Linked DNA regions of Saccharomyces cerevisiae S288C. Changing the gene in region 1 together with any one later gene gives a genetic interaction. Each region holds a gene or a part of one and is shown on either strand. Other genes may lie near its edges.

Evidence for each region.
Region 2: mutations in YPL257W (region 1) and MCO6 together harm fitness more than expected from each alone (negative genetic interaction), as found in Saccharomyces cerevisiae (one large-scale study listed by BioGRID).

The regions. Positions count from the first base shown.
Region 1 is NC_001148.4:57,198-64,360, forward strand, and holds YPL257W (uncharacterized protein), read left to right. Parts: upstream 1-6,081; coding exon 6,082-6,663; downstream 6,664-7,163. Other genes in the region: YPL257W-A (gag protein), read left to right, coding at 1-873.
Region 2 is NC_001142.9:178,408-185,056, reverse strand, and holds MCO6 (Mco6p), read left to right. Parts: upstream 1-3,347; coding exon 3,348-3,506; downstream 3,507-6,649. Other genes in the region: NIT2 (putative hydrolase), read right to left, coding at 1-556; SPT10 (Spt10p), read left to right, coding at 837-2,759; mitogen-activated protein kinase kinase PBS2, read left to right, coding at 4,954-6,649. UniProt on the Saccharomyces cerevisiae protein: Mediates the formation of endoplasmic reticulum (ER)-mitochondria encounter structure (ERMES) foci, thereby contributing to the formation of ER-mitochondrial contact sites.

The sequences.
Region 1 (7,163 bases):
ACATTTACTGATTCATCCTCAGCGGACTCTGATATGACATCCACTAAAAAATATGTCAGACCACCACCAATGTTAACCTCACCTAATGACTTTCCAAATTGGGTTAAAACATACATCAAATTTTTACAAAACTCGAATCTCGGTGGTATTATTCCGACAGTAAACGGAAAACCCGTACGTCAGATCACTGATGATGAACTCACCTTCTTGTATAACACTTTTCAAATATTTGCTCCCTCTCAATTCCTACCTACCTGGGTCAAAGACATCCTATCCGTTGATTATACGGATATCATGAAAATTCTTTCCAAAAGTATTGAAAAAATGCAATCTGATACCCAAGAGGCAAACGACATTGTGACCCTGGCAAATTTGCAATATAATGGCAGTACACCTGCAGATGCATTTGAAACAAAAGTCACAAACATTATCGACAGACTGAACAATAATGGCATTCATATCAATAACAAGGTCGCATGCCAATTAATTATGAGAGGTCTATCTGGCGAATATAAATTTTTACGCTACACACGTCATCGACATCTAAATATGACAGTCGCTGAACTGTTCTTAGATATCCATGCTATTTATGAAGAACAACAGGGATCGAGAAACAGCAAACCTAATTACAGGAGAAATCTGAGTGATGAGAAGAATGATTCTCGCAGCTATACGAATACAACCAAACCCAAAGTTATAGCTCGGAATCCTCAAAAAACAAATAATTCGAAATCGAAAACAGCCAGGGCTCACAATGTATCCACATCTAATAACTCTCCCAGCACGGACAACGATTCCATCAGTAAATCAACTACTGAACCGATTCAATTGAACAATAAGCACGACCTTCACCTTAGGCCAGGAACTTACTGAATCTACGGTAAATCACACTAATCATTCTGATGATGAACTCCCTGGACACCTCCTTCTCGATTCAGGAGCATCACGAACCCTTATAAGATCTGCTCATCACATACACTCAGCATCATCTAATCCTGACATAAACGTAGTTGATGCTCAAAAAAGAAATATACCAATTAACGCTATTGGTGACCTACAATTTCACTTCCAGGACAACACCAAAACATCAATAAAGGTATTGCACACTCCTAACATAGCCTATGACTTACTCAGTTTGAATGAATTGGCTGCAGTAGATATCACAGCATGCTTTACCAAAAACGTCTTAGAACGATCTGACGGCACTGTACTTGCACCTATCGTAAAATATGGAGACTTTTACTGGGTATCTAAAAAGTACTTGCTTCCATCAAATATCTCCGTACCCACCATCAATAATGTCCATACAAGTGAAAGTACACGCAAATATCCTTATCCTTTCATTCATCGAATGCTTGCGCATGCCAATGCACAGACAATTCGATACTCACTTAAAAATAACACCATCACGTATTTTAACGAATCAGATGTCGACTGGTCTAGTGCTATTGACTATCAATGTCCTGATTGTTTAATCGGCAAAAGCACCAAACACAGACATATCAAAGGTTCACGACTAAAATACCAAAATTCATACGAACCCTTTCAATACCTACATACTGACATATTTGGTCCAGTTCACAACCTACCAAATAGTGCACCATCCTATTTCATCTCATTTACTGATGAGACAACAAAATTCCGTTGGGTTTATCCATTACACGACCGTCGCGAGGACTCTATCCTCGATGTTTTTACTACGATACTAGCTTTTATTAAGAACCAGTTTCAGGCCAGTGTCTTGGTTATACAAATGGACCGTGGTTCTGAGTATACTAACAGAACTCTCCATAAATTCCTTGAAAAAAATGGTATAACTCCATGCTATACAACCACAGCGGATTCCCGAGCACATGGAGTCGCTGAACGGCTCAACCGTACCTTATTAGATGACTGCCGTACTCAACTGCAATGTAGTGGTTTACCGAACCATTTATGGTTCTCTGCAATCGAATTTTCTACTATTGTGAGAAATTCACTAGCTTCACCTAAAAGCAAAAAATCTGCAAGACAACATGCTGGCTTGGCAGGACTTGATATCAGTACTTTGTTACCTTTCGGTCAACCTGTTATCGTCAATGATCACAACCCTAACTCCAAAATACATCCTCGTGGCATCCCAGGCTACGCTCTACATCCGTCTCGAAACTCTTATGGATATATCATCTATCTTCCATCCTTAAAGAAGACAGTAGATACAACTAACTATGTTATTCTTCAGGGCAAGGAATCCAGATTAGATCAATTCAATTACGACGCACTCACTTTCGATGAAGACTTAAACCGTTTAACTGCTTCATATCATTCGTTCATTGCGTCAAATGAGATCCAAGAATCCAATGATCTTAACATAGAATCTGACCATGACTTCCAATCCGACATTGAACTACATCCTGAGCAACCGAGAAATGTCCTTTCAAAAGCTGTGAGTCCAACCGATTCCACACCTCCGTCAACTCATACTGAAGATTCGAAACGTGTTTCTAAAACCAATATTCGCGCACCCAGAGAAGTTGACCCCAACATATCTGAATCTAATATTCTTCCATCAAAGAAGAGATCTAGCACCCCCCAAATTTCCAATATCGAGAGTACCGGTTCGGGTGGTATGCATAAATTAAATGTTCCTTTACTTGCTCCCATGTCCCAATCTAACACACATGAGTCGTCGCACGCCAGTAAATCTAAAGATTTCAGACACTCAGACTCGTACAGTGAAAATGAGACTAATCATACAAACGTACCAATATCCAGTACGGGTGGTACCAACAACAAAACTGTTCCGCAGATAAGTGACCAAGAGACTGAGAAAAGGATTATACACCGTTCACCTTCAATCGATGCTTCTCCACCGGAAAATAATTCATCGCACAATATTGTTCCTATCAAAACGCCAACTACTGTTTCTGAACAGAATACCGAGGAATCTATCATCGCTGATCTCCCACTCCCTGATCTACCTCCAGAATCTCCTACCGAATTCCCTGACCCATTTAAAGAACTCCCACCGATAAATTCTCGTCAAACTAATTCCAGTTTGGGTGGTATTGGTGACTCTAATGCCTATACTACTATCAACAGTAAGAAAAGATCATTAGAAGATAATGAAACTGAAATTAAGGTATCACGAGACACATGGAATACTAAGAATATGCGTAGTTTAGAACCTCCGAGATCGAAGAAACGAATTCACCTGATTGCAGCTGTAAAAGCAGTAAAATCAATCAAACCAATACGGACAACCTTACGATACGATGAGGCAATCACCTATAATAAAGATATTAAAGAAAAAGAAAAATATATCGAGGCATACCACAAAGAAGTCAATCAACTGTTGAAGATGAAAACTTGGGACACTGACGAATATTATGACAGAAAAGAAATAGACCCTAAAAGAGTAATAAACTCAATGTTTATCTTCAACAAGAAACGTGACGGTACTCATAAAGCTAGATTTGTTGCAAGAGGTGATATTCAGCATCCTGACACTTACGACTCAGGCATGCAATCCAATACCGTACATCACTATGCATTAATGACATCCCTGTCACTTGCATTAGACAATAACTACTATATTACACAATTAGACATATCTTCGGCATATTTGTATGCAGACATCAAAGAAGAATTATACATAAGACCTCCACCACATTTAGGAATGAATGATAAGTTGATACGTTTGAAGAAATCACTTTATGGATTGAAACAAAGTGGAGCGAACTGGTACGAAACTATCAAATCATACCTGATAAAACAGTGTGGTATGGAAGAAGTTCGTGGATGGTCATGCGTATTTAAGAATAGTCAAGTAACAATATGTTTATTTGTTGACGACATGATTTTATTCAGCAAAGACTTAAATGCAAATAAGAAAATCATAACAACACTCAAGAAACAATACGATACAAAGATAATAAATCTGGGTGAAAGTGATAACGAAATTCAGTACGACATACTTGGCTTAGAAATCAAATATCAAAGAGGTAAATACATGAAATTAGGTATGGAAAACTCATTAACTGAGAAAATACCCAAATTAAACGTACCTTTGAATCCAAAAGGAAGAAAACTTAGCGCTCCAGGTCAACCAGGTCTTTATATAGACCAGGATGAACTAGAAATAGATGAAGATGAATACAAAGAGAAGGTACATGAAATGCAAAAGTTGATTGGTCTAGCTTCATATGTTGGATATAAATTTAGATTTGACTTACTATACTACATCAACACACTTGCTCAACATATACTATTCCCCTCTAGGCAAGTTTTAGACATGACATATGAGTTGATACAATTCATGTGGGACACTAGAGATAAACAACTGATATGGCACAAAAACAAACCTACCGAGCCAGATAATAAACTAGTCGCAATAAGTGATGCTTCGTATGGCAACCAACCGTATTATAAATCACAAATTGGCAACATATATTTACTTAATGGAAAGGTAATTGGAGGAAAGTCCACCAAGGCTTCATTAACATGTACTTCAACTACGGAAGCAGAAATACACGCGATAAGTGAATCTGTCCCATTATTAAATAATCTAAGTTACCTGATACAAGAACTTAACAAGAAACCAATTATTAAAGGCTTACTTACTGATAGTAGATCAACGATCAGTATAATTAAGTCTACAAATGAAGAGAAATTTAGAAACAGATTTTTTGGCACAAAGGCAATGAGACTTAGAGATGAAGTATCAGGTAATAATTTATACGTATACTACATCGAGACCAAGAAGAACATTGCTGATGTGATGACAAAACCTCTTCCGATAAAAACATTTAAACTATTAACTAACAAATGGATTCATTAGATCTATTACATTATGGGTGGTATGTTGGAATAGAAATCAACTATCATCTACTAACTAGTATTTACATTACTAGTATATTATCATATACGGTGTTAGAAGATGACGCAAATGATGAGAAATAGTCATCTAAATTAGTGGAAGCTGAAACGCAAGGATTGATAATGTAATAGGATCAATGAATATAAACATATAAAACGGAATGAGGAATAATCGTAATATTAGTATGTAGAAATATAGATTCCATTTTGAGGATTCCTATATCCTCGAGGAGAACTTCTAGTATATTCTGTATACCTAATATTATAGCCTTTATCAACAATGGAATCCCAACAATTATCTCAACATTCACCCATTTCTCAGTTATACTATCAATGTTGGAATAAAAATCAACTATCATCTACTAACTAGTATTTACGTTACTAGTATATTATCATATACGGTGTTAGAAGATGACGTAAATGATGAGAAATAGTCATCTAAATTAGTGGAAGCTGAAACGCAAGGATTGATAATGTAATAGGATCAATGAATATTAACATATAAAATGATGATAATAATATTTATAGAATTGTGTAGAATTGCAGATTCCCTTTTATGGATTCCTAAATCCTCGAGGAGAACTTCTAGTATATCTACATACCTAATATTATAGCCTTAATCACAATGGAATCCCAACAATTACATCAAAATCCACATGCTCTACAATCAATATATTATCATATACGGTGTTAGATGATGACATAAGTTATGAGAAGCTGCCCATCGAAGTTAGAGGAAGCTAAAGTGCAAGGATTGATAATGTAATAGGATAATCAAACATATAAAACGGAATGAGGAATAATCGTAATATTGGTATATAGAAATTTCGATTTTATTTTGAGGATTCCCATACCGCCGAGGAGAGCTTCGAGTATACTCTGTATACATGATATTATAGCCTTTATCAACAATGGAATCCCAACAATTATCTAAAAATTCACCCACATCTCAATTTTAGAGTTTCATTTCAACAAAACGCATAACATATATACCAACAATGAATACTGTATACGTTTTTTACAATTTCTTTTGGAGAAAACTCCACTGCCTGTGTTGGACTTCATACGAGATTTTTTTCACCGTTGATTTGGAAACACTAGACAAATTGGAGATAAAGGCGCTTCCTTAAACAACAAGCAGACTGCTATCAAGTATAGTATACAGATCACCATTTATTTTTTTTTTCCCCTTGGTAGTATCATATACTTTTGAAAAGTTGTAGTATGACAGCTCATGCAAATGAAAGGATTAGCGATGTATCCCCTAGTGCTAGGGGTTCAAGTTCGGAATCGAAGTATGACAAGCTCTGCCGAGTTCTTTTCTTTATTGCAATTACAAAAAGCTCATTCACTCCGGAGCACATATTGTATAAGCATTCAATATTTACTGATAAGCCAATTTTAGCTGATATAGTTACTTTTATGTATGCGGCGTTTGTTTCCATTGGATGGTTTCTGATATGGGGGGAAAGAGCATACAGAACTCAAGAAATGGGTCAACCTCCAATGTACTCGAATATAAACTATCACCTTTTAAGTTTTAAGAAAAGACACCCCAAGAAATTTACATGTGCGTTATGGTTGGTATTTTTCCTTGCATATACGGTTTTGACAGTTTTAATTTGGTTAGTTCAGTTGATTTTTCGAAAAGGTAATGTTTTTCAAATGTTATTGCAACTTATTATATTAGATATCGCCATTGCATTGGTCAATGTAGCAATTGCATTCACTTTTGAAATATATCTTTCACAGAAAGCCGCTATCGAGATTCGCGACGAAGGTTTAAATAATCTTGACACCGCTTAATGGAATGGTAGTCGAAAGGTAAGAAGTACGCAGCAAATTCAACCAGAATACACACTGTACCTTTTAAAATTTTACTCATAGTAGATAATGGCATAAATCAGTGGTAAAAAAAGAATACGCATGACAAATTTTGAAAACCGTACGTGACATAAAATACCTATAATAAGATGAAGACATCAATTCTCAAGTTCCACTTTTCGCCGGTTGAGTGTATCGGTCATAGTACAAAGGCAGAAATGAATAATAGTAATATTAATCGCAGTTTCCTGTTGTTTAGAGAACTGAAACGCTTTGTGGGCATCAGGTTTAGATTAACTGCTACCCTTCTTCTGTATTTGTCTGGCCATGCTTCTCAAATAAACCGCTGCGGATAACATTTCAAGTGGTTTCTCAAGGGAGAATCATAGTTTAGCTTAACATACAGCAAATCGTCACTATCTTGACTGATGCCCGGTGTATAGAGAATGGGTAGTTAATATCATCTAGATGGGGTTTCTTTG
Region 2 (6,649 bases), on another chromosome or scaffold:
CCCCCATTGATCGTAATTTCAAAGAAAATTCGGGAAAGCGAATATCATAACAAATGGCACTGCCCAATTTTCCCAATGGAGACTCTATAATGTCAGGAATGGCTTTGCCAGGCTGGACAGATTTTGATTCTTTCAATATCGGTCCATTTGGCACGTCTACGTCAAACAAATGCAGTTTTTGGTATTCTTGCAATATTTTCCCTTCATGATCGATATATAATAGAACGTTTCTGACTCGATCATTGCCTTCAAGTAAATCTTGTTCTGAGGGCGGCAAGTGTACCCCAATGGAAACATCTATATTCCGTGAATTATCTCTGACAAGGTCGGTAATGCTTGACTGTAATTGCCGAATAAATTTGGGGCTTTTCTGTGCCAAATACCTGGAATGAAGAGGGTTTTGAGAAAGATAGTCACTTGCCTCAGGGAGAAAAACGACATCCGCCTTTTTTTGAATGGCTTCAGATATCAATTCTTTTACCACTTTTAAGTTTTTGGTCAGGTCAGCGGATGAACATAATTGTGCGACAGCAACCCGTTTTAATTTACTAGTCATTTGCGGTGTTATATTTTATGAAGGAGACTTCATGATGGGTATGAATTTTATTTCACCTCTATTCATTTACTTCTAATGGCCTAGAATCTAGTAAGCTCTGAAAATTCGAGATGCGGATCGTGAGCTAAAATAATAAAAAAATGAAAAATATAAAAGAGCAAAATTCATTACATTGGCGTTAGTTCACTGCTCGGGGGATGAGTAAAAAGTGTACCGATCAAGAACAACTCTAGACTTCCGCCAAAGTGATTATCAACAAAAATCGTAATAATTAGCTTCAATGCTAAATCAGCACACAAGTTCAGTACCGGATGACGAACATCTGCAGATGGCACACCAAAATAGCAGTTCAGAAGTGAGAAATGAGGCAGCGGTCCCAGATCAACTTTTGACTCCTTTACAACCGTATACCATTTTATTGAAAGATGGAGAAACAATAGCTACGATGTATCCTATACCTGCGTATCCTGATTTATTGCCGCTAGGGCTCTTAAATTTCCTTCTAGATGAATTTAACATGGAAGTGGAAAAGGGAGATAGTTTTCCTTATTACGAGACTTTATCACTAGAAGAATTCAAAAATGTCTGGTTTCATAATGATGGTCACGTTTGTATTATGGTGTTAGGCGAAATACCAGAACTGGATTATAGTATGGATACTGAAGCGGACACAAATGATAATTTTGGAACAGAAATAGAAACCACGAAGCACACCACCCAATATAAGAAACGAAAAGAACGTCGCAATTTAAATCTAAGTATGCAGTGGGAGAAGCAATGTCTAGGCATATTTGACCTCAAACCAGCATACCCTGGACGGTCAGCGCATGTGGTCACAGGAACATTTCTGGTCAATGCTGGTATTCGTGGAAAAGGTATTGGGAAAACACTAATGGAAACATTCATAGAATGGTCAAAGAAATTAGGATTTACGTCCTCCTTTTTCCCGTTAATTTACGGAACGAACGTAGGAATCAGAAGAATTTTGGAAGGATTGAACTTTAGGCGGATTGGAAAGCTGCCTGAAGCCGGGATTCTCAAGGGCTTTGATGTCCCAGTAGATTCTTTCATGTATGGTAAAGAGTTCACACATATTACGAAAAGTATAGATTTGTTACGAGATCCTCAAAAGAGTATCGAAATTGGGAAATATGAACGATTAAAGCATTTTCTGGAAACAGGCAAGTATCCTTTACATTGTGATAGAAACGAAAAGGCTAGATTAAGAGTACTTTCCAAAACTCATTCGGTATTGAATGGCAAGTTGATGACAAAAGGAAAAGAAATCATTTATGACACGGATCAACAAATCCAGATTGCATTAGAGATACATTTAATGGAACATTTAGGCATCAACAAGGTGACCTCCAAAATTGGTGAAAAATACCATTGGAGAGGAATCAAGAGTACTGTTTCGGAGGTAATCTCTCGGTGCCAAAAATGCAAGATGAGGTACAAAGACGGGACAGGGGTAATAATTGAACAAAAGAGAGCAGTTAAGCAGGCGCATATGCTACCGACGCAGCATATAGAAACTATCAACAATCCAAGAAAAAGCAAGAAGCATGATAATGCGTTATTGGGACAGGCAATAAATTTCCCTCAAAATATTATTTCCAGTACGCTGAATGATGTGGAGGGTGAACCCACTCCGCCAGACACTAATATCGTACAACCCACATTCCAGAACGCCACGAATAGTCCCGCAACAACAGCTGAAGCCAACGAAGCGAATAAAAGATCCGAGTTTCTTTCCTCAATACAGAGCACGCCACTATTGGACGACGAACAGTCAATGAATTCCTTCAATAGATTCGTGGAGGAAGAAAACTCAAGAAAAAGACGAAAATACTTGGATGTTGCCTCCAACGGAATTGTACCCCATTTAACGAATAACGAATCGCAGGATCACGCGAACCCCGTCAACCGTGATGAACGAGATATGAACCATTCAGTTCCCGATTTAGATAGAAATGACCATACTATAATGAACGATGCTATGTTGAGCCTCGAAGATAACGTCATGGCCGCTCTAGAAATGGTCCAAAAGGAACAACAACAGAAGATAAATCATCGAGGTGAAGATGTGACTGGCCAACAAATCGATTTGAACAACAGTGAAGGTAATGAGAATTCAGTCACTAAGATTGTTAACAACGAATCTAATACATTTACAGAGCACAATTCTAATATTTATTATTAAATTGCGACTCTGCCAGAGACGGTCACATCACCAACCCTAGAAACTATAAAGTTTGTACAGAAAAAAGGTACATTTAATGATGCGTCCACTTTTGGAACAGGGTTGACAAGTCTTAAATCTTATTTCAGAAGTGATTTTTGAAGTAAAATTGGAAACTGAAATTGGAAACAAGGCACTCAACTCAATTATGCTTGCATGACGAAAGGTTCTGTTACAGTTTTACGTTGAAACCTAGGTACTGCAGAAATCCATAATCGGAGATAAATAACTAAGCTTTGTGCTGCAAAATTTTCCAGATTAGGAAACCTGATCCTCAGTGCCCTTTTAAGTACTGCTGTATCTGATGCCGTGAACGAGACACTATTGGCTGCGTGGGCACGTACCAAGTATACTCATCAAAATTTGTCTTAGGTTTTCCGATGCGGAAAATGGCAGCGCACAATTTAAATAGAAAAGGAGTTAAATGTACAGCAGCAAAATCAGTCACTCACGGAGAAAAGCTACGGTAGCGTAACGAAGAGCACATTGCTACTAGCAGCCAGCTAGATAATTGCAGCAGTGTACAGTTTACGCGACAATAAAGAAAGCATGATTTTCTTTTTCAACCAGATCCGTTCAATATTTACAGCTTTGCATACGCCAACTCAACAGATCCAATTATCAAGAAGGGCCTTTTTCCAATTCTTAGGCTATTTGGGTAGTTGTGTTGTGATTTCATTAGCAGCTCAATCGAAATACGTGCAGTAAGAAATGAAATAATGACCTGCAACAGTCCTTCTTGAGATGGAATGAAGTAATTGCTCTTTGAACGAGAGCACAAAAGCAAGCAGAAGTCGCGTATGTCAAGCCCATGATATAGCTGCTTAGATATATAGGTAGATATAAATAAGCACAATGGCTACAGTAATTGTGCGGTGCAGGGAGGCAATGTTTAGTGCATCTCCTCTACATCATTTCTATTTTTAATCTCGTCCACGAGAACGATTTAAGGAAATGGGGCTTCAAAAATAAAAAAATCAAATGAAAGTAATAATCTTTCAGCTTAGACTTATTTTTAGTTGAAACACTTGAATAAGAGTGCAGACACTCAATCGTGGTGTAGCTACAAGAACATATGGTGGCGTGTTTCTGCTGCAACTGTCAAGATCGTCTGTGTCTTAATGAGGTGATATATAGAACTGCTGAATACGGAGCCGTTTGTCTTTTACTGCGGGATTAACTTCAACAGCTACGGCCGAAGCCAATTCTGGCAAAAGGCAATGACTAAGTCTTGTTTCTCATGTAGATTACTATTTTGAGCGTGTTGCTTTTCTGTTCCCCTTGAGCATAGCAGCAGGCACGGAAGCATACAGAATATTCACTAACATGAGAACAACTCATTACTAGACTACTACCAGTTACTACACATCGATACAACTCCCCAGAAATATCACTGTTGAGAGTTCATGTCAAGACGTAGTATAGTATTGCAACAGGAAAAAAAAATCTTATTGCGTAGCACTCTGTATCTATTTTATATATCTGTTTCTATATTTGATTAATCTCTTGTTATCTTGGTGATGATCGCACAAGTATGTACTCCTGTATCTGCAAGAATATCTGTTTTAAACTTTTCAAAGCAAGGAAACCCCGTCTTATATAGGTTATCCGCAAAGGTCACATTTTCTTGCAAATAGAAGAAAAAGCACCCACAAGCACACTAACACAGTGCCAGAGCAAAACTATATCCTTTGCATCCGATCTCAAACGCTGTTCTTATCGCATCTGTCTTCGTCCTTTCATCTGCATTTACCTTTTCTTTTTCATCCTCTATTTGCCTTTTCATTAGTGGCAATTTTTCCAGTTTTTTCCCTCTGCGTCCCGTTGCACCTGAAAGGATCTTTCTAACGTGTGTTGTCTACTAGTGAGCGATTTCGTGAGCCATACACGTTCTATAGAAAATTGAATAAACTTTACTTCAAAGGGATCTGGACACAGAGATAACTGCTTACCTGCTTGCCGGAAGAAAAGAATTACTAAAAAAGAAGACAAGGGTAGCTGCTATTGTGGGTACACGTTTCACAGAACTACTTTTTCCTTGTCCTTCTCCAGACATCAACGTCATACAACTAAAACTGATAAAGTACCCGTTTTTCCGTACATTTCTATAGATACATTATTATATTAAGCAGATCGAGACGTTAATTTCTCAAAGATGGAAGACAAGTTTGCTAACCTCAGTCTCCATGAGAAAACTGGTAAGTCATCTATCCAATTAAACGAGCAAACAGGCTCAGATAATGGCTCTGCTGTCAAGAGAACATCTTCGACGTCCTCGCACTACAATAACATCAACGCTGACCTTCATGCTCGTGTAAAAGCTTTTCAAGAACAACGTGCATTGAAAAGGTCTGCCAGCGTGGGCAGTAATCAAAGCGAGCAAGACAAAGGCAGTTCACAATCACCTAAACATATTCAGCAGATTGTTAATAAGCCATTGCCGCCTCTTCCCGTAGCAGGAAGTTCTAAGGTTTCACAAAGAATGAGTAGCCAAGTCGTGCAAGCGTCCTCCAAGAGCACTCTTAAGAACGTTCTGGACAATCAAGAAACACAAAACATTACCGACGTAAATATTAACATCGATACAACCAAAATTACCGCCACAACAATTGGTGTAAATACTGGCCTACCTGCTACTGACATTACGCCGTCAGTTTCTAATACTGCATCAGCAACACATAAGGCGCAATTGCTGAATCCTAACAGAAGGGCACCAAGAAGGCCGCTTTCTACCCAGCACCCTACAAGACCAAATGTTGCCCCGCATAAGGCCCCTGCTATAATCAACACACCAAAACAAAGTTTAAGTGCCCGTCGAGGGCTCAAATTACCACCAGGAGGAATGTCATTAAAAATGCCCACTAAAACAGCTCAACAGCCGCAGCAGTTTGCCCCAAGCCCTTCAAACAAAAAACATATAGAAACCTTATCAAACAGCAAAGTTGTTGAAGGGAAAAGATCGAATCCGGGTTCTTTGATAAATGGTGTGCAAAGCACATCCACCTCATCAAGTACCGAAGGCCCACATGACACTGTAGGCACTACACCCAGAACTGGAAACAGCAACAACTCTTCAAATTCTGGTAGTAGTGGTGGTGGTGGTCTTTTCGCAAATTTCTCGAAATACGTGGATATCAAATCCGGCTCTTTGAATTTTGCAGGCAAACTATCGCTATCCTCTAAAGGAATAGATTTCAGCAATGGTTCTAGTTCGAGAATTACATTGGACGAACTAGAATTTTTGGATGAACTGGGTCATGGTAACTATGGTAACGTCTCAAAGGTACTGCATAAGCCCACAAATGTTATTATGGCGACGAAGGAAGTCCGTTTGGAGCTAGATGAGGCTAAATTTAGACAAATTTTAATGGAACTAGAAGTTTTGCATAAATGCAATTCTCCCTATATTGTGGATTTTTATGGTGCATTCTTTATTGAGGGCGCCGTCTACATGTGTATGGAATACATGGATGGTGGTTCCTTGGATAAAATATACGACGAATCATCTGAAATCGGCGGCATTGATGAACCTCAGCTAGCGTTTATTGCCAATGCTGTCATTCATGGACTAAAAGAACTCAAAGAGCAGCATAATATCATACACAGAGATGTCAAACCAACAAATATTTTATGTTCAGCCAACCAAGGCACCGTAAAGCTGTGCGATTTCGGTGTTTCTGGTAATTTGGTGGCATCTTTAGCGAAGACTAATATTGGTTGTCAGTCATACATGGCACCTGAACGAATCAAATCGTTGAATCCAGATAGAGCCACCTATACCGTACAGTCAGACATCTGGTCTTTAGGTTTAAGCATTCTGGAAATGGCACTAGGTAGATATCCGTATCCAC